Callithrix jacchus: one gene and its partners. The protein of the gene in region 3 interacts with the protein of the main gene of each other region in a pairwise test. Links are inferred from orthologs where the notes say so. Each region holds a gene or a part of one and is shown on either strand. Other genes may lie near its edges.

Region 1 (5,845 bases), on a different chromosome or scaffold from region 3:
ATGTCTGTATTCCCAGCACTTTGGGAGGCCATGGCGGGCAGATCACTTGAGGTCAGGAGTTTGAGACCAGTCTGGCCAACATGGTGAAACTCCACTTCCTCAAAAATATAAAAATTAGCCGAGTGTGGTATTGCCCATCTGTCCAGCTACTTAGAAGGCTGAGGTGGGAGAATTTCTTGAACCTTGGAGGCATAGGTTGTGGTGAGTCAAGATGGTGCCACTGTACTCCAGCCTAGACAACAGAGTGAGACTCCATCTCAAAAAAAAAAAAAGAGAGAATCTCCCTCTGTTGCCTAGGTTAAAGTACAGTGGCACAATTATAGTTTCCTGCAGCCTTGAATTCCTGGGCTCAATTGAGCCCCCTATCTCAGCTTCCCAAGTAGCTGGGACTAAGATATGCGCCACCATACATGGCTAATTTTTGTATTTTTTGTAGAGACAGGGTTTCACCATGTTGCCCAGGCTGGTCTCAAACTCCTGAGCTCAAGTTATCTGCCTGCCTTGGCCTCCCAAAATGCTGGGATTATAGGTATGAGTCACCGTGCCTGGCCCTAGCTAATTTTAAAAAATTTCTTGTAGATATAGATTCTTGCTATGTTGTCCTGCCTGGCTGTTCTCAAATTCCTGGCCTCAAGCAGTCCTTCCACCATGGCCTCCAAAAATGCTGGCTCATGCCTGTATTCCCAGCACTTTGGGAGGGCATGGCGGGCAGATCACTTGAGGTCAGGAGTTCAAGACGAGCCTGGCTAACACGGTGAAAGATGTGAGCCACTTCAGCTGGTCAGCTTGATTATTCTTTACCCCCTTGTTGATTCTCTGATTCTTAAAGAAGCTTGTTAAAAATGTTTTGACAGTCTTTCTTAGTTCTGAGCTGGAAAGTAGTCTGAATGACCTCGTCTGTCATTAACTGGAACTTATTTGAGGAGCCATGATTTGAATTCAACTGTATCTTAACTTTAAGATCTATGCTTTTAACCATGTATTTTATGTATTAATCCATTTTCACACTCCTGATAAAGACACACCCAGACTGGGCAATTTAAAAAATAAAGAGGTGGCCAGGCGCGGTGGCTCAAGCATGTAATCCTAGCACTTTGGGAGGCCGAGGCGGGTGGATCACGAGGTCAAGAGATCGAGACCATCCTGGTCAACATGGTGAAACCCTGTCTCTACTAAAAATATAAAAAATTAGCTGGGCATGGTGGTGTGTGCCTGTAATCCCAGCTACTCGGGCGGCTGAGGCAGGAGAATTGCCTGAACCCAGGAGGTGGAGGTTGCGGTGAGCCGAGATCACGCCATTGCACTCCAGCCTGGGTAACAAGAGCGAAACTCTGTCTCAAAAAAAAATAATAAATAAAGAGGTTTTATTGGACTCACAATTCGACGTGGCTGGGGAGGCTTCACAATCATGGCAGAAGGCAAGGAGGAATAAGTCATGTTTTACATGGATGGCAGCAGGCAAAGAGAAGAGAGACCGTGCAGCAAACTGCTATTTTAAAAACCATTTATTCACTATCACAAGAACAGCATAGGAAAGTCTTGCCCCTATGATTCAGTTACCTCCAGCCAGTTCCCTCCTACAACACATGGGAATTCAAGATTTCAAGATGAGATTTGGGTGAGGTCACAGCAACCGTATCATTATACTTATTATACTTTGTTGTATTAAATCTAACATAAAGAGTAAAATATTTATGAATCGGACCATAAAAGTAAACATTATTTTATCCTTTATATTTTTTATATTTTACAGGGCAAAAGTCCCAAGACAAAATTTTAAGGCTTGTATTCTATTTTTTGTTCTGCAGTGAAGCAAATAAGCAACATGTAAGATGTCAGAAATGCCTGGAATTTGGACATTGGACTTATGAATGCACAGGAAAAAGAAAATACCTACATAGGCCCTCAAGGACAGCAGAACTAAAAAAAGCTTTAAAAGAAAAAGAAAACAGATTATTATTACAACAAAGGTAGGTTTACATGTGTTATCCAAAGGAATATTTTTTAAAATGTATATTTATAGAATTTATTAAAGGACTAAATGTTTCATGGTGGTTCTCCAGATTTTAATTATATTACTACGAATGTTTAATGGATGCTTGCTATGTGCCAAACACTGTTCTAGGGTCTTTATAAGTATTAGCTTATTTAAACCTGACATCTACACTATTAAGGTAGGTAATATTACTGTCTTTTTACATATGAAGAAACTGAAGCAAGGAAATATTGAACGATTTACTCATTGTTACACAGCTAGTAAGAAGAAAAAAATAATCATTAAATCATGCAGCCTGTGCCCCAGATTCATTGTCTTAATCATTTTGCTCTGTTGCCTCAACTGTCAATGAAATGACAGTTGAATTAAGAGATAGATTATATGAGCTGACATAGAAAGCTTTATATATCAGGTATATAAAGAAGGTAGGGAACAGAATATATAATATGCTGTGATTTATGTTTATAAAAAGAAAAATTGGCTGGGTGCAGTGGCTCACACCTGTAATCCCAACACTTTGGGAGGCCGAGGCGGGTGTATCACATAAGTCCAGGAGTTCAAGACCAGCCTGGCCAACATGGTGAAACCCCATCTCTACTAAAAATACAAAAATTAGCAGGGTGTGGTAGTGTGTGCCTGTAATCCCAGCTAGTCAGGAGGCTGAGGCAGGAGAATCGCTTGAATCCAGGAGCTGGAGGTTTTGGTGAGCCAAGATTGTGCCACTGCACTGCAGCCTGGGCAATAGAGCAAGACTCTGTCTCAAAAAAAAAAAAAAAAAAGGAAAAGAAGCAGCATCTTCATAAAGGTTATTAGTTATATAATAGTGTCTTAAATATTTAGGCTTTCAAGGCAGCAGTCTTCCAATCTGCTGGACATGAAACTTCTTCAAAAGTTGTACAGGAATAGGTAAATAACCAATTTCTAAATTATCAACATTCATATGCAATTTTTCCTAAAACAAATCTAGATGAGAACTTCCCTACTGGTCTGCTTTTATACTTCCGCTTTTCCAACAAACCTTCTCTAATCTCACAAAAGAAAGGTATACCTCTCGCCTATCTCTAATACTTTAGTGTGTTGTCCTCATGTATAAATACCTAGATGGTTTTTCAAAATAGTGGTATTTGTATTGAGAAAGTAAATGGCCATAATAGTTTTGTTTGTTTTGAGACAGGTTCTCACTAGGTCTCACTGTGTCACCCAGGCTGGAGTGCAGTCTCTTCTCACTGCAACCTCCAACTCCTGGGCTCAAGTGATCCTCCCACCTCAGCCTCCCAAGTAGCTGAGACTTCAGGTGCATACCACGATGCCTGGCTTATTTTTTGCATTTTTTGTAAAGACAAGATTTTGCCATGTTGCCCAGGCTGGTCTCAAACTTCTGAGCTCACGCAATCCACCTGCCTCAGCCTCCCAAAGTGTTGGGATTATAGGTGTGAGCCACTATGCCCAGCTGGCCATGATTTTTGAGAGTAAGTTCTTTTTTTTTTTTTTTTCTTTGAGATGGAGTTTCGCTGTTGTTACCCAGCTGGAGTGCAATGGCGCAATCTTGGCTCACCGCAGCCTCCACCTTCTGGGTTCAAGCAATTCTCCTGCCTCAGCCTCCCAAGTAGCTGGGACTACAGGTGCCCACCACCATGTCCAGCTAATTTTTGTATTTTTAGTAGAGACGGGGTTTCACCTTGTTGACCAGGATGGTCTCAATCTCTTGACCTTGTGATCCACCTGCCTTGGCCTCCCAAAGTGCTGGGATTATAGGAGTGAGCCACTGTGCCCAGCCTGAGAGTAAATTCTTTTTTAAGGTTTTTCCCCCAACAAAATTGGTGGGGGACCTAATTGAATTGTCAATTTAAAAATATTTTTTACTGATATATTCTTATATGACTTGTGGAATGTAACATAGAAGGAATGCAGAGAATTGAGTGATACTGAAGTAAGAAGTCTTTCCATTTCCATGATTCTATTTAGGTTAAGGTTTCTCCAGGTTAAATCTATAAAACTGTAAAATAATTTAATTCCCAAAGAGCCATCTCTATTGAAAAAATAAAATTTAAAAATAGGAATTTAGCCAGGCGTGGTAGCTCACGCCTGTAATCCCAGCACTCTGGGAAGCTGAGGCAGGCAGATCACAAGGTCAGGAGTTCAAGACCAGCCTGGCTAATATGGTGAAACCCTGTCTCTATGAATAATACCAAAAAAATCAGCTAGGCATGATGGCACATGTCTGTAGTCCCAGCTACTTGAGAGGCTGAGGCAGAAGAATCGCTTGAACCTAGGAACAGAGGTTGTAGTGAGCCGAGATTGTGCCACTGCACTCCAGCCTGGGCGACAGAATGAGACTCTGTCTCAAAAAAAAAAAAGAATTTAATTGATGTCAAACCTGGTCACATTCTACTCTGAAGTTTTTATTTATGGATATATAAACTAGAAAAAAAATCTGTCATTAGGAAATACATTTCTGGACCAGGCACAGTAGCTCATGCCTGTAATCCCAGTACTTTGAGAGGCTGAAGTGGGTAGATCACTTGAGGTCAGGAATTCGAGACCATCCTTTCCAACACGGCAAAACGCCATCCCTACTACACGTATAGAAATTAGCTGGGTGCAGTGATATGCACCTGTAATTCCAGCTACTCAGGAGGCTGAGGCAGGAGGATCACTTGAACGTGGGAGGCGGAAGTTGCAGTGAGCTGAGATAACACCACTGCACTCCAGCCTGGGAGATAGAGTGAGACTCTTACACACATACATGCACACACAGATATATGTTACCAATAAAGTAACAGTTATTAAAATTTATAATATTGTCCAGCTGCGGTGGCTCACACCTGTAATCCCAGCACTTTGGGAGGCCAAGACAGGAGGATCACTTGAGGCCAGTGCAACATAGCAATATTCTGTTCCTATTAAAAAAAAAAAAAGTTAGCTGGATGTGGCAGCGCATGTCTGTGATCCCAGCTACTTGGGATACTGACTTGGAGGATTGCTTCAACCCAGGAGGTCAAGGTTACAGTGAGCTGTAATTGCACCATTGTACTCCAGCCTGGGTGAGAGAATGAGACCCTGTCTCAAAAGAAGAATTGTTAAACTTTTTCTTTTTTTTGGGATGGAGTCTCACTCTGTTGCCCAGGCTAGAGTGCAGTGATGCGATCTCGGCTCACTGCAACCTCTGCCTCCTGGGTTCAAGCCATTGTCATGCCTCAGCCTCTCGAGTAGCTGGGACTACAGGTGTGCACTACGGAGCCCAGCTAATTTTTTGTATTTTTAGTAGAGATGGGGTTTCACCATGTTAGCCAGGATGGTCTCAATCTCCTGACCTTGTGATCTGCTCGTGTCAGCCTTCCAAAGTGTTGGGATTATAGGTGTGAGGCAACATACCCGAAGTTTACTTCCCTCTCTTGTTTTTTTTTTTTTTTTTTGTCCTACATGTAAAGATCCCCCTCTTATTTTACTCCCAAAATGACAATTCGGTAAGGAATTCCATTGTGTAAAAAACTTTACATAAATACACATTTATGTTTGGAGACTCAGGAAATAAACACAGAAACAGAATCTAGGAAATATAGAAAGGGCCAGAATATAAAAACGTTGGCCACGTGTGGTGGCTCACACCTGTAATCTCACACTTTGAGAGGCTGAGCAGCTTGCTTGAGCTCAGGAGTTCCAGATCAGCCTGGGCAACATGGTAAAACCCCGTCTGTACAAAAAAATGCAAAAATTAGCTAGGGGTGGTGGTAAACACTTGTAGTCCCAGCTACTCAGGAGGCTGAGGTGGGAGGGTTGCTTGAACCTGGGAGGCAGAGGTTGCAGTGAGCCAAGATCGTGCCACTGCACTCCAACCTGGGTAACAGT
Region 2 (6,279 bases), on a different chromosome or scaffold from region 3:
CCTGCCCGCAAAAATAGGGACCTAGGCACCTACAAAAAACATAGGGACCTTTGCAGCCTGAGGTCACACACAAGTCCTCTTTTATCACCCTCCAGGATGAGACAAGGAGGTGGTCCCTCTTTTTTCTCCCTCTCCCATGAATGCCCTTCTCTGCTCACATAGCGCTCAGGGCTGCCTGGCTTTCCGATCTCCATGTTCCTTCACATGACCCAGCAAATAAATTGCTTTTTATGCCTCCCTAGCTAACTTGGAGTCCGTGGGCTGCCGGGGTCCTCTAGTGCATAGCTTCAGAGTTTACAGGGGGAGGGTCTGGTGCCATCAGGAGCTGAGCCTGCTAACGCTGAGCTCCCGTGAGTGGCTGCTCTCTCTTTTCCTTAATTGGGGAGGGGGCAGAAGGTGGTGTCAGCCCACAGGAGAGATTCCTTGTTTTGACAAGGACGTCGTCCACAGGCAGCCACAGCAACAATGATCTAAGGAATCTGCCCAGATGAAGGAGAACTGCCCATCCCCAAAGTGAACAGAAATGGAGCCCCTGATATCCCCATTTGGGCTGTTACCTTAGCACCAGACTCTCCCATCCCGCATCAGAATCCTGGGTCACGGAAGAAAGCATTGGGGTTTTGTCAACAAGTGGGTGCCACGAGTTGGCTCTTTGAGGAAGGGACAGGCTGGTTGTGGGAAGGGAGCTCTGTCCTTTAACCTTTGGGAAATATCTCAGCCCATTTCTTTTTTTTCTCATTTGCAAAATGAGGTTGATTAAAAACCCCACCTCAGAGTACAATCCCCCTTTATAGATTTTTACTATATTTTCTTTTTTTTTACTTCCTAAAATAACAGCACAGACACATTAAGATAGATGCTGATATATTTATTTATTGACATAGAAAGAAGCTCACAACATATATTGTCTGGTGAAAAAATACAGAGTATAGAACAGCACTTATATTGCATCACTTTTATCTATACATATATCTATCTGGGTACATAGGTATAGGAACATATCTAGAAGGGCACTCATCAAAGGGTTGACAATGATTATATAAGGGTGGAGGGATTTGGGTAATTTGTACTTCACTTTTTGTACTTTTTTTATAGTTCAAAGATTTAACAATAATTTATATCACTTTCACAAAGAGAATAAAGCTGTCAAGGTAATGGGCACACACAGAAAACAGACCCTTAGGCTGCAAGGAGAAGGAGCAAGGACAGAGGTCAGGCTATCTCCCTCCAATGTGCTATTATCCAAGACCCTTTCTCCTCCACCCCAAAAGATAGCCGCTTGTGGATTAATTCATGCAGTTAGAAGCGGAAGCCCCACCCCACCCCCACCCCCACCCTCACCCCCACCCCATCCCACCCCAGTTTTCCCAGCGCTGGATGCTGAATATAGGTAAGGGTTTACTGAAACTTGGGGGCTGGTCCCTTACAGAAGCTGAGAGAAGATATTGTATCGGCCAAGGGCCCCTCTTGATCGCTCCATCTCGGTATGGGTCAGCTCCTGCAGGGTGATGATCAAATTCTCAAAAACCTGGGCCCTGTCACTCTCGTTGTCACAGGTTTCTTTGGAGTGACCCTCCTCACCACAATACGAACAGCGGAGAATGTGTTTTCGCTTCCTGGCTCTACGCATCTGCATCTCCCCAGGACCATTATTCTTAAAGCCAGAACCACCACTGGTGGAAGGAAACTGAGCCCTGGAAGTTTGGGGGGAATCAATGACCAGCACTTCATCCTGAGGTCTGGCCCTGTTTCTGAGGGAAGGGGCACCCCAGGGTGGAAGTGGAGGATCCTGAGACTCCACCAGGATCACATCCTCATCAGAGTCGTCATCGAGGGTATCATCAATCTCTATCACATTGCAGTCAGCACTGCCCATCACTATTGGCGGGGAGCCCTGAAATGCCACAGGGCTGACTGCCCTCTCCACCATCGACTCAGACCTTTTGGACCGCTTCCGATGAATAGCATCATCATCATCCCAATCATCTTCCTCCCTCACCATTCTGATTAACTCCAGGAAAGTGGGAAGCCGATCCTGCTCATCTGCATACATCCTGAGAAGCTCCTTAAGTCTGAGGCGGAGGTCCCTACTAAGGTCAGCGCCTAAAAGGAACTGCTGCAAGCGAATCTGGTTTGCATCTTTCTCAGCTATGATGCCTGCCTGAATAGCGTTCTGGAGCTGCACTTCTAAACGGATCACATAAAGGGAGGTTTTCTCCCCTTGTGCCTGCAGGGTGTTAAAAAATTTACCATGGGCAGTCATACTGCTTTCAGACTCCCCAAACACCAATTTCATGGCTCTCAAGAAATCTGCCACATTTAGATTAGGGTTGGTCGCCTGAAGCACACGCATGACCTCCCGGGCAGGGCCCCTAAGGGTTTTCATCAAGCGCTGGAGCTTTTCGTCCTCAGACATATTCCAATCTGGCAGGACCTCATTGACTTGGGTCAGCCAGTTTTCAAAGGTTTCTTCCCCCTGGGCTGGCACCATCCTCCCCGAAAACAACTTCATATTTCTCTCTGCCATGCTGGACATTATAGGACTGAGACTCCTCCCCAGGGACCTCATCATGGAATAGAGCCAAGGCGGCAAGGGTGAGTTCTGCCGCCGGCTTTTACCCACACGTGCAATGATGCTAGCCATGACTGACAGCGAGAGGGTATCTGAATATAACAAGAGGCCTAAGCTTTTTAGAAAAGCGTAATCTGCAGGCAGGAGAGGAGAGGAGGTGGCTCTGTCTTCCTGTCTCAGCAGGGGCTGTAAAAAAGAAAGGAGGGGGCTGTTAATAAAGGAGAGGGCTGCAGCTGCATTCTCCCTACTTGAATATCCTGCAGTACATTTTATATTTGCCCACTACCCTAAAAATAATCCCGCAAGAGATTGGCACTTACAACCACCCAGAGCTACCTGATGCCTGCGTGCTAGCAAGGTGCTTTTTGCAGCCACATCCATCCCTCCCACCAGTCCTCTAAGAGGGATGGCAACTGTTGCTCCAAATTCTAGGTGTAACAGTGTCTGGAGCTGATATTGGGCTCTCCAAAAAGAGTACAATGATCGCAGTTTGTGGAAATAAAATAAGATCTCATTAACCTCACAGTCTCTGTTCTCAACCACACCCCTTCTCAAAGTGTCCCCCCCCATCTCTCTCGTTATTTCTCAGATTCTTACACGAGCTCTGAAACAAGAGCACACCTTTATTTCCAGTCTCTTCAACCAGTGTTCTTCGTGAGAAAGCTCCTCTAGGGGGATAGGTCAACCTCTGTCCACAGGGGGTCGCAGATCCGGGTCCTCGAGCTTTCAAGATTGCGCCACAGCGGAGAAGGCCAGAGAAGGGGGGGTTAGAAGCAGCTTCACCCGTCATCCTGCTACCCACCGCCTCCGCTGTTGCCAGGCGGAAAATTCTCTGGCCCTCCTGAATATAAGCCAGAGACCAGCCCCCCCACCCTCCCAAGCATTACATTTCTCCCTGGAAACCGTCGTCAGCCTACCAGCTCTGCAATCAGCTGTACAGAATTCAAGTTCAGATGCGGCTTTGATGGCCTGCTACGGAGAAAAGGAATAAGAGTTGGACACACCCACTCACATATTCCTCACAGAAAGAGATGAGGAGATGCAAAGCAGGCTCCAGGCAAACAGCTTGAGATTCCTCCCCCCGCTACTCCTCGCCTCTCCCCCCACCCCTAAATCCAGGCAAATCCTACAGTATCCAGGTGAACCCCACCTCCTCCCTCAGCGCAGCCGGCGGGAGAGCGCTCCTACCCCTGCCTCGCAGTCACCGATTCTCCAAGCGGGGAGCGGCCCAGTAGTGGTGGGTCTTCCCCCACCCCTCTCCGCGCCGGGCAATCGCGCCCGCTTCTTTACCTGCGCTCCGCTCGTGAGCAGCTAGTGCTCCCGCGTCGCCAGCTGTGGATTCCGCCTTCTGGTCTACTCCACCCTGCAGGGGAAAATAAAGGGAGCCTCCTCGGCCGCTAAGCGACCAGGGGCTGCCCAAAGGAACTGCTTCGCAGGGCTGCCAGGGGTAGCCGAAACGAGGCAGCGCGGTTCCTAAGGCAGCGGCGACAGCTTTTATCCCTGCAGCTGAGACAAAAGAGCGTGACGAGTGGGCCAGTGCGGCCAATCAGCGAAGCGCGGGGGCGTACGGCTCGCACAGCCTTGGGCAGGGGCGAGTGTTCCGGGCAGGCTGGCAGGCGGAGGCGGGAGGGCACAGCGGGCCCGCGGAATCTCAAGTGCCCCTTGATTAGACCGATGGAGCCAATCTTCCTGTTACCCCGCAATTTGAGACTCTTTCTTTCTCGCCCAACCCCTCCCTTCTCCCGGGGCTCAGCTCTGCATCTTAGGCCAGGTGCATTAAACACAAAGTGGGTCCAAAATCAAGTATATAATAAAAGTTCTTCACCTTGGTATAGGGGAAAGAGGGAGAAGAGGGGAAGGGGCGGGAAGAGCATTAGCCCGTGCATTGTGCAAATAGGCTTTCACAGACATCTCCTCTTTTATGGTGAAGAAAGTGGCAGTATGTCCATTTAACAGAAAGGGGAGTTGGAGCACCAAAGCTCTCAACCGATACCCATTCGAGTATGGGTGCAAGACATCAGAGTCATTTGGGAGAGCTTGTTCAGAAATGCAGGCTTCTGGGCCTCAACTCTGGTGGATTCAGATTGACTAGGCCTAGGGGTTGTGGTGTGGTTTTGTATTTAGTATTTTTTTTATTGCATTTTAACTAGTGCTGCGGTTGGTTCTGAGGTGTAGTGAGGTTTGTGAATAAGTAAATGAGCCTGTCTCAAGTATCTGTCCACACTTATCTGTGACGAAATGCAACTCCAGAGCAAATGTGCCTACCTGGAATCCATGATCTTCCTGAAGTTTTAGGCAAAGATTTTGGACTCTGTATGAGGATAAATAAAGCCCCCCCACCCCCAATATATCAAGCCCTAATCCTTGAAAGCTGTAAATGTTACCTTATGAAGTAAAACGGTCTTTGCAGGTGTGATTAAATTAAGGCTTTTGACTTGAATTTCCGGGCAGGCTGAAATCCAAATCCCAAGTGTCCTTATAAGAGAGGCAGAGGGAGAGCCGTGCACCAAGAAGAGAAGGCAATGACCAGAGATTAGTGATGAAGTCATAAGCAAAGGAATGCTAGCAGTCACCAGAACCTGAAAGAGGCAAGGAATAGAGCACAGTCCTACTGACACCTTGAATGCAGCCCTGAGAAACCAGTGTTAAGCTTCTGGCTTCTAGAACTGCGAGAAATTAAACTTCTCTTGTTTTAAGCCACCAAGTTTGTGATAATTTATTATGGTGCTGTCTTAGTCTGTTTGGGCTGCTATAACAAAATACCATAGACTGGGTGGTTTATAAACAACAGAAATGTATTGCTCACAGTTCTGGTAGTTGGGAAGTACAAGTTCAAGGTGCCAGCAAGGTTGGATTCTCCTGAGGCTTTTCTCCTTGGCTTGCACATGGCTGCCCTCCTGCTCAATCTTTTGATAGTCATCCTCTCTGTGCATATGTGCCCCTGGGGTCTCTCAGTGATTCCAAATTTCCTCTTCTGATAAGGACACAAGTCAGATTGGAGCCTACCCTGAGGGCCTCATTTTCCCCTTAATTAACTCTTTAAAGGCCCTATCTTTAAATACTGTCTCTCTCTACAGTGCCTGGGGGGTTAGGACTACAACATATGAATTTGAGGGAACATAGTTCAGCCTGCAGCACTCCATTTTCCCTTACTTCTGGTTCTGGGAAAGCAAGTCTTCCTCCCTCATGTAAACTGTGGTTAAGAGACTCCTGTGGGGACTTTGGGGAGGTCAAGACCAAGTGCATTTGGACCATCCAAGTGCAAAGGAGTTGCTTATTCTTGATTCCTGATGCTTGGAAGTGAGTGAACAGTCTGATACCTTTCAGCTGCTGTTAGGTTCAGCTTCAGCCTACCAAGGTACTTCTGCTCCTTTCTGCCTTCTTATTTCCAACCCCAATACCTAGAATTCCTTGGAGTAAACAATCTACATCTAAAGACAAAGCATCTTCATCTCAGAGGCATGACCTTTCTCTTGTGGATGGAATACTGTAATGGTGACAATGGTGGGTGGAGGATTTTGGAGGTGCAGAGAAGGCAGGTTGCTTACTGCACACAGTGCAGGGTGATGCTGGCAGTAGCTTAGGGATATTCTTCAGACTCTTGCTTCTGCTCCCCAGTGCTACAACCTCTGACCCTGGCCTCTAAACAGAATCTTGTTCTGCATTTAAATTGGCTTCATCGCCAAATCAGGTGATCTGTAGTTGGA
Region 3 (5,845 bases):
CGAGAGGCAGAGTTTGCAGTGAGCTGAGATTGCACCACTGCACTCCAGCCTGGTGACAGAGCAAGACTCTGTCTTTAAAAAAAAAAAAAGAAGAAGAAAAACATGCCTCGATATCCTCAACTGTAATGGAAGATGGAAGAGAATGGCAAAAAGCCGGGCCAGGCGCAGGGACTCATGCCTGTAATCTCAGTACTTTGGGAGGCCAAGGTGGGTGTACAGCTTGAAGTCAGGAGTTCGAGACCAGCCTGGCCAACGTGGGGAAACCCCATTTCTACCAAAAATACAAAAATTAGTCGGACATGATTGTGCGTTCCTGTAATCCCAGCTACTTGGGAGGCTGAGGCAGGAGAATCACTTCAAATCAGGAGGCAGAGGTTGCAGTGAGCTGAGATATTGCCACTGCACTCTAGCCTGGGCGACAGATTGAGATTCTGTCTCAAAAAAAAAAAAAAGCTGACTTACACAAAGAAACAATCTCTAATAATGTCACTTCCTTTATTAAAATAAAGAAAAAAAAATGCCTGAATTTCCTCAACTGTAATAAAAGATGGAAGAGAATGGCAAAAAACTGGGCTGGGCGCAGGGACTCACGCCTATAATCCCAGCACTTTGGGAGGCCAGGGTGGGTAGATCGCTTGAGGTCAGGAGTTTGAAACCAGCCCAGCCAACGTGATGAAACCCCATCTCTACCAAAAATACAAAAATTATGGTTGATACTTTCCCTATCTCTCCTCAAAGAAGTAAAGTATGTACTTTATCTAGTAGCAGTAAAGCTGTTAAACTGCTCAGAGAAAGGTGTTTGTCTTACTATTACCTTTCATTGTGTCCAGAATAAAACATGCTTCTTCCTGAAAGTTCTGTATCATCTGAAAAAATCAAGAAAACTTGTGATTATTTAAATGAAAAAGAACCCCTTTATATTCCTGTGTCCCTAAGGACTAACCCACATCCAGAGGGATTTAGATGGGAGGCTTTACAGGCCACAATAGTGTATTTCTTGAATATCTATAGAGTCATAAAAGTTTCTTCCTCCCAATTTTCAAAAGCCTGCTTCACAAACTTTTTTTCCCTCCCATGTGGTTTTTAAATATTAAAAAGCTAAGCAGATTAGAGCAGTTATCTTAAAGCTAGGTATGCATTTCCCTGGGTTAACCCCAAGACTCTCCAAGGAGCACACAGACACTAATGTATACATACGGGAGAACTAACTTCCGTGCCTTCAACAACCATATGTGCTCTTTGCTAAAACTTCTTTAATTTTCCTTCCCCACTTTCCCTTCTCAAACTCCCTTCTCCCATTTTACAAGATAAAGGCATGAGTTTCACGCTCCCAGAACCCTAACAAGGTGCTCTGGCCCACGATGTAGGAGCTTCAGGTGCCAAAGTGGAGCAACAAAGGTGAACTCCAATAACTGGGCAACAAACTCTTTCATGAGCCACATGGTTTTTAACTCTTTCCTTTCACCAGAATTATGGAGTAACCTAATCACAAATTGTCATATGATAGAGGATTCAAAATGATTTTTTGATTATCACTATGTAATTTTTGGTATATAAATGTGAAGTTTAAAATAATCTAATGACATTGTTATTATAAAACTCTATCCATTCCTATCAATTTATGTGAGTCAAGTCCCACAGCATTTATATCTAGAGGGAAAAAAAACACAATAAAATCGATGCTGAAATCCTATGTCATTCTAGCAATCAATAGGCAGTATTCATCTACAAAGGAAATAATTATGTGCAAGGGTACAGGTAGGGAATGAAACAATTTCATCCAACTCATTCATAGATACACCTGTAATACTTTTTTTCTTTTCTTTTCTTAGCTCACCACAACCTCTGCCTCTGCCTCCACTTCTGCCTCCCAAGTTCAAGCGATTCTTCTGCCTTAGCCTCCGACATAGCTGGGATTACAGGTATGTGCCACCACGTCCAGCTGATTTTGTATTTTTAGTAGAGATGAGGTTTCTCCATGTTGGTCAGGCTGGTCTGGAACTCCCAACCTCAGGTGATCTGCCTGCCTCAACCTCCCAAAGTGCTGGGATTACAGGCAAAAGCCACCACGCCTGGGCTTCTTAATGGTTAATAATTACTTATTAAAACATGTAGCATATTTACATTATTTTAATCAATTGTAAATTATGATAATTCCATTCATAATAATTTTTAAATTTTTATTTAAAAACTTTGTTTCAAACAAATATAGTAGGATAATAAAAGATGTTTGTGCATAAAAATATGTTACAGTAGGCTGGGCATGGTGGCGCACGCCTGTAATCCCAGCACTTTGGGAGGCTAAGGTGGGTGGCTCACGAAGTCAAGAGATCGAGACCATTCTGGCCAACATGGTTAAACCACATCACTACTAAAAATATAAAAATTAGCTGGGTGTGAAGGTGTGTGCCTATAGTCCCAGCTACTCTGGAGGCTGAGGCAGGAGAATCACATGAACCCTGGAGGTGGAGGTTGCTGTGAGCTGAGATCGTGCCACTGCACTCCAGCCTGGAGACAGAGTGAGAGCTCCATCTCAAAAAAATAAAAACAAAAGTTACAGTAAGATGGCCGGCCACAGGGGCTCACACCTGTAATTCCAGCACTTTGGGAGGCTGAGGCAGACGGATCACCTGAGGCCAAGGGTTCGAGACCAGCCTGGCCAACATAGCAAAATCCTGTCTCTACTACAAATACGAAAATTAGCTGTGTGTGGTGGCACATGCCTGTAATTCTGCTATTCAGGAGGCTGAGGCAGGAGAATCACTTGAACCCAAGAGGTGGAGGTTGCAGTGAGCTGAGATTGGGCCACTGCACTCTGGCCTGGGCAACAGAGCAATACTCTGTTCCAAAAAAAAAAAATTTTTTTTAGGAGGAAAGCAAGCAAAAAAGTATGAAACCCTCTGATCTAGAAAACAGAACACTCTGCTCCAGGAGAACTGCTCTTGCTCCGTGTGCTGACAAATTAATCATCATCTGGTAATTCAACTGTACTGAAAAATCTACCTCATCACTGATGAGCACATGAATTCCTGTTGGCCCCTGCTTGTAAATCTGGCTGATCTGGCAAGGGGAAATGCTGAAAAGCTGAGCAATTTTTTCTGTCAATTCAACAGCTGTCAGTTCTTCTAGATAGATAGCATGGTAAACTGCAAAAGGGAGAGAGCAACAGCAGTCAGTACAAAGTTTGTCTGCTCTTACAGGTAACTTGATCACTAGGAACGCCCACTTCTCTGAAGGACTCAGAAATCAGACTGCCTAAGTTCCAATTCTGGCTCAACCACTTGCAGCTGTGTGACCTAGGATACGTTATTTACCCCTAGGCCTCATTTTTCTCACATAAATACTGGTGATAACAATAAAATCCTCTGCAAAGAGGAGATATTAGTTTTATATCTATTAAATATATAAAGATATTAATATTAAATATTAAAGCATATAAAAAGTATTAGGAATAGCACCTGGCTGGGCGTGGTGGTTCACACCTATAATCCCAGCAATTTGGGAGGCTGAGGCAGGGAGATTGCTTGAGCTCAGGAGTTCCAGACCAGCCTGGGTGACATAGGGAGAACCCATCTCTACAATAAATAAAACAATTAGGCAGATATGGGATGCACACCTGTAGTTCTAGCTACTTGGGAGGCTGAGGGGAGAGAATCACTTGAGCCCCGGTGAGCAGATGGCTGCAATGAATCATGATTACACCACTGTACTTCAGCCTGGCTAAATTGAGTGAGAGTCTGTCACTCCCCACCCCCCCAAAAAGGATTGCACCTGCCATATATTAGGAGTGCAAATAAATGCTAGTGATTATTGTTATTTCTAGCAGACAATGAATCTACTTTCTGATAGTTTCCCATCACAGAGGCCCATAAGTTGTCTCTTCACCTTTCTTCGTATCTGTCCTGGTCTGTCCAGAACAACCTACCGAAGAAAGTACCATTTGAGTCTCCATCCTCATGCTTCTGTTGCTGTTGCTGCTGCTGTTGCTGCTGCTCCCTCAGCTGCAGTGATTCCTGACAAACATAAATGGTTAACCTTGGACGCACCATCCTAAAGGGAAGAAAAAGGCTAATTAGTCTTACATTCTTTATGGTAAGCACAATAAAAAGAAGGGAGAAACTGTGTTTCTACATTAATAGTACAGAGCAGATGAAAAGTAGAAGCTCAATGGCCAAATGCAATTAATTCACTATGTTTTATTAGTTCCCCAGTGGTAGGGCTATTTTTTTTCCTTAAGTGGAATTAGTTCCAATATGAGGCATCATATAAACCTCTGAACTTGTGGCTTTTCCTGAAGACTCAGATCTAGCAATCTTAAGCCCACATTCTCACATGAAAACAATCAGCTGTTCTCCTTATATGATGTATATACTCTTTACCCCTGTCTTGACTGCCATTCATTTGCATTACCTGTATGTCCTCTGTAGTCATTTGAGTTTGTGACTTATTGTGTAAAAGTTAGAAATAGTCAAGATACATAGGCCACCGTCTTATGGGTCAGGTTCAGGATATACTTTTTACTCAAAAATGCCAACACAGTAAACTAGATCATCTTATTTTTCTCATTACCTTCTCCTAACTAGCCTAAGTCCTTTTTCTGTTCTTCTTAGAGAAAGGTATTTAACTACCTCTTGATCTGATCATCTTACTCTTTCTTATTTCTAAACACCCTTTAGATAATATTGAAAGATCAATTATTTTTCCCCAAGTCATCAGCCCCTAATTTCACTTCTTTCCTTAAAATTTTCCAAGATTTGGCGGGCGTGGTGGCTCACGTCTGTAACCCCAGCACTTTGGGAGGCTGAGGCAGGCAGATCACCTGAGGTTAGGAGTTCAAGACCAGCCTGACCAACATAATGAAACCCCTCTCTACTATAAGTACAAAATTAGCCGGGCATGGTGGCACATGCCTGTAATCCCAGCTACTTGAGAGGCTGAGGCAGGAGAATCGCTTGAACCCAGGAAGCAGAGGTTGTAGTGAGCCAAGATCGCACCACTACACTCCAGCCCAGGCAATGACAGCAAACTCCATCTCAAAAAAAAAAAAATTTTTTTTTTCCAAGATTTAACACCCCTTATGATGTAGAAAAAAAAAAATGACTGGGTACGGTGGCTCACACCTGTAATCTCAGCACTTTAGAAGGCCAAGTCGGAAGGATTGCTTGACTTCAGGAGTTTGAGACCAGCCAGGGCAACATGGCAAAACCCCACATCTACAAAAAGTACAAAATTAGGTGGGCATGTTGGTGCATGCCGGTACTCGCAGCTGCTCAAGGAGCTGAGGCAGAAGGATTGCTTGCCCCCAGGAAATCAAGGCTGCAGTGATCACACTCCAGCACTCCAGCCTGGGTGACAGAGCAAGACCCTGTATCAAGAAAAAAATGCCAAAACAAAACCAAAATAAATACTGCACAATCTGTTTTTCTGTTTAGTCATTGATTTGGTTCTGCTGCCATTGACCTAAATGCCTTCTTCATCAAAGTTACTACTACCTATTTAAAATGGCAACTCCCAAAAAAAGTTCACAAACCACTGTGGATTTTAACAATTGCAGGCAGACACTCAATTCCTACCCACATTTAAGAGCACTTCTCCAGTTTGGGCCGGCCTCAGTGGCTCAAGCCTGTAATCCCAGCACTTTGGGAGGCCAAGGCAGGTGGATCACGAGGTCAAGAGATCAAGACCATCCTGGTCAACATGGTGAAACCCCGTCTCTCTAAAAAATACAAAAAATTAGCTGGGCATGGTGGCGCGTGCCTGTAATCCCAGCTACTCAGGAGGCTGAGGCAGGAGAATTGCCTGAACCCGGGAGGCGGAGGTTGCGGTGAGCCGAGATCACGCCATT
Region 4 (5,845 bases), on a different chromosome or scaffold from region 3:
GTTGAATAATAATATTTCAGCAAAATGATTAGAGTGTCTTCAAGATATAAATGTATGAAATTCATTAAGAATATAAAAATGTTTTTTATTATTTTGTTCAAATTGTTAGTCTTTTGAAATTTAGATAAGAATTTAGAGAATTTTCTTTTAACGGTCATCATTGATTTACTTTAATTAGTTATTCTTTCTCTTTCACCTATTCCTTCTACACTGACTCCTCTCTCAGCATTTAAGAATACTCTTTCCCCTTCCATCTTAAACAACAAAACAAAACCCTTACCCTTAACCTCATCCTTTCCCCTTGCTGCTTCTTTTTCCTTTTATAGCTTCACTTTAGAAAGAATTGTTTCTACCAACTCATTTTCTGTTCAAATCCCCTGTAGTCTGGCTCTTGCTCTGTACTAAAACTATTTTCACTAAAGTTTCCAGTGACTCAGGGTTCAGTGAATATTTTGAGCTACTGTTGAGACCTACTGCTCAGAAAGATTCCTTTCAAGATATTATTGCTGATTGATGATGTACCTACTCACAAAAGAGTTCTGATGAAGGTGTTCAAGGAGATGAATTTTGTTTTGATGACTACTAACACAGCATCTATTATTTAGCCCATAGATCAAGGAGTAATTTAGACTTTTCAAGGTTTTTTTTTTTTAAGAAATAAGATTTGAAAGGCTGTAGCTGCTATAAATTGATTCCTCTGATGGATCAGGGAAAAGTAAATTGAAACTTTCCTAGATTTACCATTCTAGATGCTATTAAGAGCATTTGTGATTAATAGGAGAAGGTCAAAATATCACCATTACCAGAAGTTTAGGAGAAGTTGATTGCTACCTTCATGGTTCATGGATGACTTTGAGGGGTTCAAGACTTCAGTAGAGGAAATAACCGAAGATAGGTTGTGGAAATAGCAAGGGAACTAGCAATAGAAGTGGAGCTTGAAGATGTGACTGAATTGCTGCACTCTCATGCTGGAACTTGAATGGATGAGGGAGGAGTTCTTTCTTACAGATGAGCAAAGAAAGTGATTTTTTGAGATAGAATTCACTCCAGTGAGCACTTTGGTGAAGATGCTGTAAACATTGTTGAAATGACAACAGAGGATTTAGAACATGACATAAATATAGTAAAGCAGCAGGGTTTGAGAAGATTGAGTCCAGTTTTAAGGAAGTTCTTCTTTAAGTAAAATGCGGTCAAATATTATCACATACTGCAGAGAAATCTTTTGTGAAAGGTAAATTCAGTAAGTGCCAGAAACTTTATTATTATCTTATTTTCAGAAATTGCTCAGCCACCCTAACATTCATCAAAGACCACACCCTATTAGTCAGCAGCCATCAACATTGAGGCATAATCCTACACCAGCAAAAAAAATTAGAACTTGCTGAAGGCTCAGATGATTGTCAGCATTTTTTAGCAACAAAGTATGTTTTAATTAAGGCATATACATTGTTTTTCAGACATAATGCTATTCCACACTTAAGGTAGACTATGACATAGTGTTAATGTAGCTTTTATATGCAGTGAGATAGCAGGAAATATGTGTAACTTACTGTATTATGGTACTCACTTTATTGCGGTGGTCTGGAACTGAACCCACAATGTCTACAAGGTAAGGTTGCACTCTTGGGTTTCTGTAATAACCTAGTACCCTTACAGTCTTTCTTATTGTCCTTCACTGGACCATATGCATATTATCTTACCTTATTCCTCATTTTAGTCTCCAGTGCCTGGCATATATAAACCCTGAATATTTTTAAATATAATATTTTTAAAAAATCACTTTGGTTGTACTATGGCTTCAGTTGGTGGAAATTTTTTCTTTTTCTTTTTCTTTTTAGGTTTCAGTTTAATGTCTTGAATTCATTCCAGATATTAATTGGATTTGGATTTGTAAAAAATTTTCTGTAAAATGTTTTTATAATTTTGTTTATATTTTGAGTAAAAAATTCTTTCTTCTCCCCACCCCACACTGTAGTTAAAGCCTTCCATCTGAAATATGATGAAGTTCGTCTGGATCCGAATGTTCAGAAATGGGATGTAACAGTATTAGAACTTAGCTATCACAAACGTCATTTGGATAGACCAGTGTTCTTACGATTTTGGGAAACATTGGACAGGTAATTTTTATTCTAAAATGTGTTTATCTGTGGTTTATTGTAATTTTTCTGTCTCCTCAATTAAATTTTAAGTTCCATAAAGTTGTGAATCTTACTCCCTATTTTCCTTCTTTCAACATTAATTTGATGTTTATCTTCAGTAAATAATTAACAAAATTTTATTGTATAATTACTTTAGAAAGGGATGGAGAGTTAATAGCCTGATAGAGGGAACACTAAATTGAGTCAGAAGACTTAGACTTGAGTCTTGCTTTTGTAATCTCTAATGATCTGTGTGACCTTTTTGAACCTTATTATCTGTCCAAGAAACTTTGGATTAAGCGCCCTATGTTTTTGCAAGTACTGAAAGATCTCTGATTCTGGGTTCGTCTGTGTTACACATAGTTCATGAAAAGAAATGAAATTTTAAAATTTATTTTGATTACTAGTATAGTGTTGATAAAACCCTTTAGTAACAGTTTTGTAATTGGCAGATTTAAGAACAGCGTATGTTCACAGTGAGTACCACTGAATCCATTCTCTTTGAGGTGTGCTCCTTAAAATCTGTAACATCTTGGTGTAAGTCTCTCACAATAGATGTGAAAAATATATATCATTTTAGCTAGAAGCTTTTAGATTATATTACTTAAGAGGAGTGTTATTTCTAGCTTATTCCAGAAGTCCTTATATTTTCAGTTTTCTAGAAAACAACATTCTGTTGATTTAAGAAATGTCAACTTATTTTTACATGCGTTATTCTAAAAATTCCGAAATTTCTATAGTCATTATGACCTACCATCATACTTTTTTTTCAGGTACATGGTAAAGCATAAATCCCACTTGAGATTCTGAATTATTTGGCTCCTCTGTTTCTGGAAATTGAGACTCAAGCTTTATGAATTTATCAAGAACTTAAAGATGAAGAAGGTCACAGATTGATCTTTTATAAAACCTTACTCGATGCTTTGTGCTTCAAGGAGATGATGCCTGTCATCCATATAAGCAAACTTTTTGGCTTACAACTATTTTTTTAATACTAGCCTTCTAGTCTGTAATGGAAATTGTATATTTTGATAGAAGTTTTTTCTCCATTGGTTAAATTAGCATTACTTAAAAAATTTGTTTCTTTAGAAAATAAATGCAGGTTATAAATGTGTGTATATTTAGAGATTATAAGGCTCTCTGAGCCATCTTGCTTCTGATTTTTCATTGCTCTCTAATTCTTTTTACTGAAAATACTGTGTGATGAATGGTATTAAATTTTAGTCTCTGGAACATCCAAACCAAGCAGAGGGATGTGACCATTTTGAATGAATCAGAATGTCAACCTGTATGTACACTATATCTACACTTACTCTTTATTTAAAAAGAATAATGAAAAATCAAGAACAACTCTTCAATTTGATTGAACTGTTCAGCCTTTTCAAGATTTCTTTATTTACAAATGATAACATTTAATGAATGTACGTTCTTCTCACTGACTGGTGATTTTTGAAACTTAGAATGATGTGTTTCTATCTGTGATATCTTTCCGTTTGAAAAAAATTTCAAAACACAGATTAAAACCATAATAGGCTGTAGTATTTTTTATTTTGGGAGCCACAGTATGATTTGGGGAAGGAATATGTATCAGCCCTATTGCAGTATGTCTTTAAGCTCCTTTTCTCTTTAGTCCACCTTTGATTCTAATTTTTATGGTATAGGATTTTGAGTCTTCTGTTTTAGGTTTAGGCTTGTCAGTCTTGGAGTTCTTATCTTCCATTATCCCTCAATATTGATAAACTCCCAGACACCAAAGAACACATTTGCTTAATTGAAAAGAAACAAGAGAAAAACACTGGTATTTTTGTGTGTGTATTAAATATGGTATAAAATATAAAACCTATATTTTAACTTAGTAAAATATTTTACTATTTCTCTACTTTAGACAAAATGTTGCCTCCAAGGTACAACTGACCATTTTCCTTGAATCCTGATTTTGCTCTTTTTACTTAAAAGCAACTGGAAAGCTTTACTTTCCCAAATTGTTTTTGCCATCAGAATTTTTGCTGATCACAGTCTTAGGTCATTTTTTTCTTCCTTGTTATTCCCAGCAGTTCTTTCCTAGGTTAACATATTGTTGGCAAACATTTATCCCTTTCATAGGTGTTAAGCTGACATTATCTAGATTCTTTATGAAATTTAGCACTGTCACAAAAACGAGAAGAAATTATTTACTTTTAAGTAATCACAAAGTCCATACCACTAGTAACTAGAAAAGGTATTTATTTACACGGTATCTACAAGGCTGTTCAGAAGAGAACAGTTGGCATTTTAAATTACTGGATTTTAGCATACCTAGAAAGTTTGAATAGATTCTACCCGTTTTCCTCCCTTTTTAGTGTCTTCTTTCCTTAAAGATAAAACTCAGATTTTTTCCCATTGGGCTTTCTTAGCATATAGATCTGTTTCCGGAATAAATTACGTGTTGTGTAAACTTTCTTCATGATGAAATAGTCAAGGACCAGAATCTGTGATATATGTATGTAAGATTACTTGTCAAGACTACTACAAGTCAATATGAACTACCTTCCCGTAAAGATTTTTGGTATTTATACTTATTAATGAACTTTACTTGATACAGAATATGGTTAAAATTAGGAACATCTACTTTGAATGAGGTTTATTTTTCTATTTTGAATTTGCCTTATGTATATTCAAAGGCTTATGGAAAAACTATAGAGGAACTTTAGGAAAAGGACAAATATGTGATGATCATCTATCTGAAAATCAGATCCTTAGCATAAGCACTGCTTTTTTTCTCTTTGACAATGTAGCTTCTTATTTAGGTCCATGGAATTAAATTTCATTCCATTACTTTTTCAGCTAATCCCTATTCATTCTCCCATGACATGGTCTGATAGCAGTACTTAACACAGTGCCTTGCACATAGTAGGCATTCAGTAAATACTTATATGCATGAATGAATAATGTATTTTCAGTGTAACAAATTTATTACAAAAATGTAGTTTGACTCTACTTGGTTTTGGAATTTGAGAATACAGAATTACAGGGAATGAGGAGAGGTATAAGTAGATACTTTAATGGAAATGAAGTATAAATAACTTACCCATAAGTTACTTCTAACTGGAGATACCCATGTATGCCCAATCTGTAAAGGAAAGTTCTATTTCTACATTTATAGGACATTCTTCTCAGTCAGGGAGCAGTAAGAAGTATGTAGGTTTCAGTCAGTTGCTCTCAACCCTGACTGCATGTTAGGATCATTTGGAGAGTTTGAAAAAAAACCCATGCCTGAATCTTCATTCCCATTTTTATGTAATTTGAGACCTGGTCATCAGTATTGTTTTTAGAAGTTCTCCAGGTAATTTGAGTGTGCAGGAAGGATTCAGAACCACTGGTTTAGTTTGTTATTGGAAACAATACCAGGATTAAATGTGTTTCCTCTTCCTTCTTTTCTGTATGTGTGTGTTGTTGTTGTTTCGTGGCCACCCTTTGCACTAGACCATCCCTGTTACTGGTGGCGTTGGCCTGTATTCCCATTGACAAATGCAATTTTTAATTATTTATTAATATAGGAGTATTTGACTTTAATATTTAAATAATGTTTAATGTATTTCATTATTAACTAGTATTATAGCTTGTTTTTTTCTCCGTGTGTCCATAACCTTTACTAACTTTTTGTTTTTAGCAGCACAACAGTAATTCATATAGAAACAAGTAATTCATAATGAGGAGAATCTCCTAAT

Evidence for each region.
Region 1: the proteins of TFCP2 (region 3) and ZCCHC10 interact in binary tests that used the Homo sapiens proteins (3 or more experiments, as listed by UniProt). The two-hybrid records come from large-scale screens. The link is inferred for Callithrix jacchus from reciprocal best matches to the Homo sapiens genes TFCP2 and ZCCHC10.
Region 2: the proteins of TFCP2 (region 3) and ZCCHC12 interact in binary tests that used the Homo sapiens proteins (3 or more experiments, as listed by UniProt). The two-hybrid records come from large-scale screens. The link is inferred for Callithrix jacchus from reciprocal best matches to the Homo sapiens genes TFCP2 and ZCCHC12.
Region 4: the proteins of TFCP2 (region 3) and CDC73 interact in binary tests that used the Homo sapiens proteins (3 or more experiments, as listed by UniProt). The two-hybrid records come from large-scale screens. The link is inferred for Callithrix jacchus from reciprocal best matches to the Homo sapiens genes TFCP2 and CDC73.

Annotation. Positions count from the first base shown.
Region 1 is NC_133503.1:75,424,875-75,430,719, forward strand, and holds part of ZCCHC10 (zinc finger CCHC domain-containing protein 10), read left to right. Parts: intron 1-1,808; coding exon 1,809-1,970; intron 1,971-5,845.
Region 2 is NC_133524.1:114,745,647-114,751,925, reverse strand, and holds ZCCHC12 (zinc finger CCHC domain-containing protein 12), read right to left. Parts: upstream 4,041-6,279; 5' UTR 3,761-4,040; intron 3,545-3,760; 5' UTR 3,490-3,544; intron 3,296-3,489; 5' UTR 3,194-3,295; intron 2,759-3,193; 5' UTR 2,645-2,758; coding exon 1,424-2,644; 3' UTR 854-1,423; downstream 1-853. UniProt on the Homo sapiens protein: Transcriptional coactivator in the bone morphogenetic protein (BMP)-signaling pathway. It positively modulates BMP signaling by interacting with SMAD1 and associating with CBP in the transcription complex.
Region 3 is NC_133510.1:68,339,307-68,345,151, reverse strand, and holds part of TFCP2 (alpha-globin transcription factor CP2), read right to left. Parts: intron 4,051-5,845; coding exon 3,926-4,050; intron 3,576-3,925; coding exon 3,459-3,575; intron 3,147-3,458; coding exon 3,004-3,146; intron 867-3,003; coding exon 815-866; intron 1-814.
Region 4 is NC_133519.1:50,416,786-50,422,630, forward strand, and holds part of CDC73 (parafibromin), read left to right. Parts: intron 1-1,975; coding exon 1,976-2,117; intron 2,118-2,911; coding exon 2,912-2,948; 3' UTR 2,949-5,845.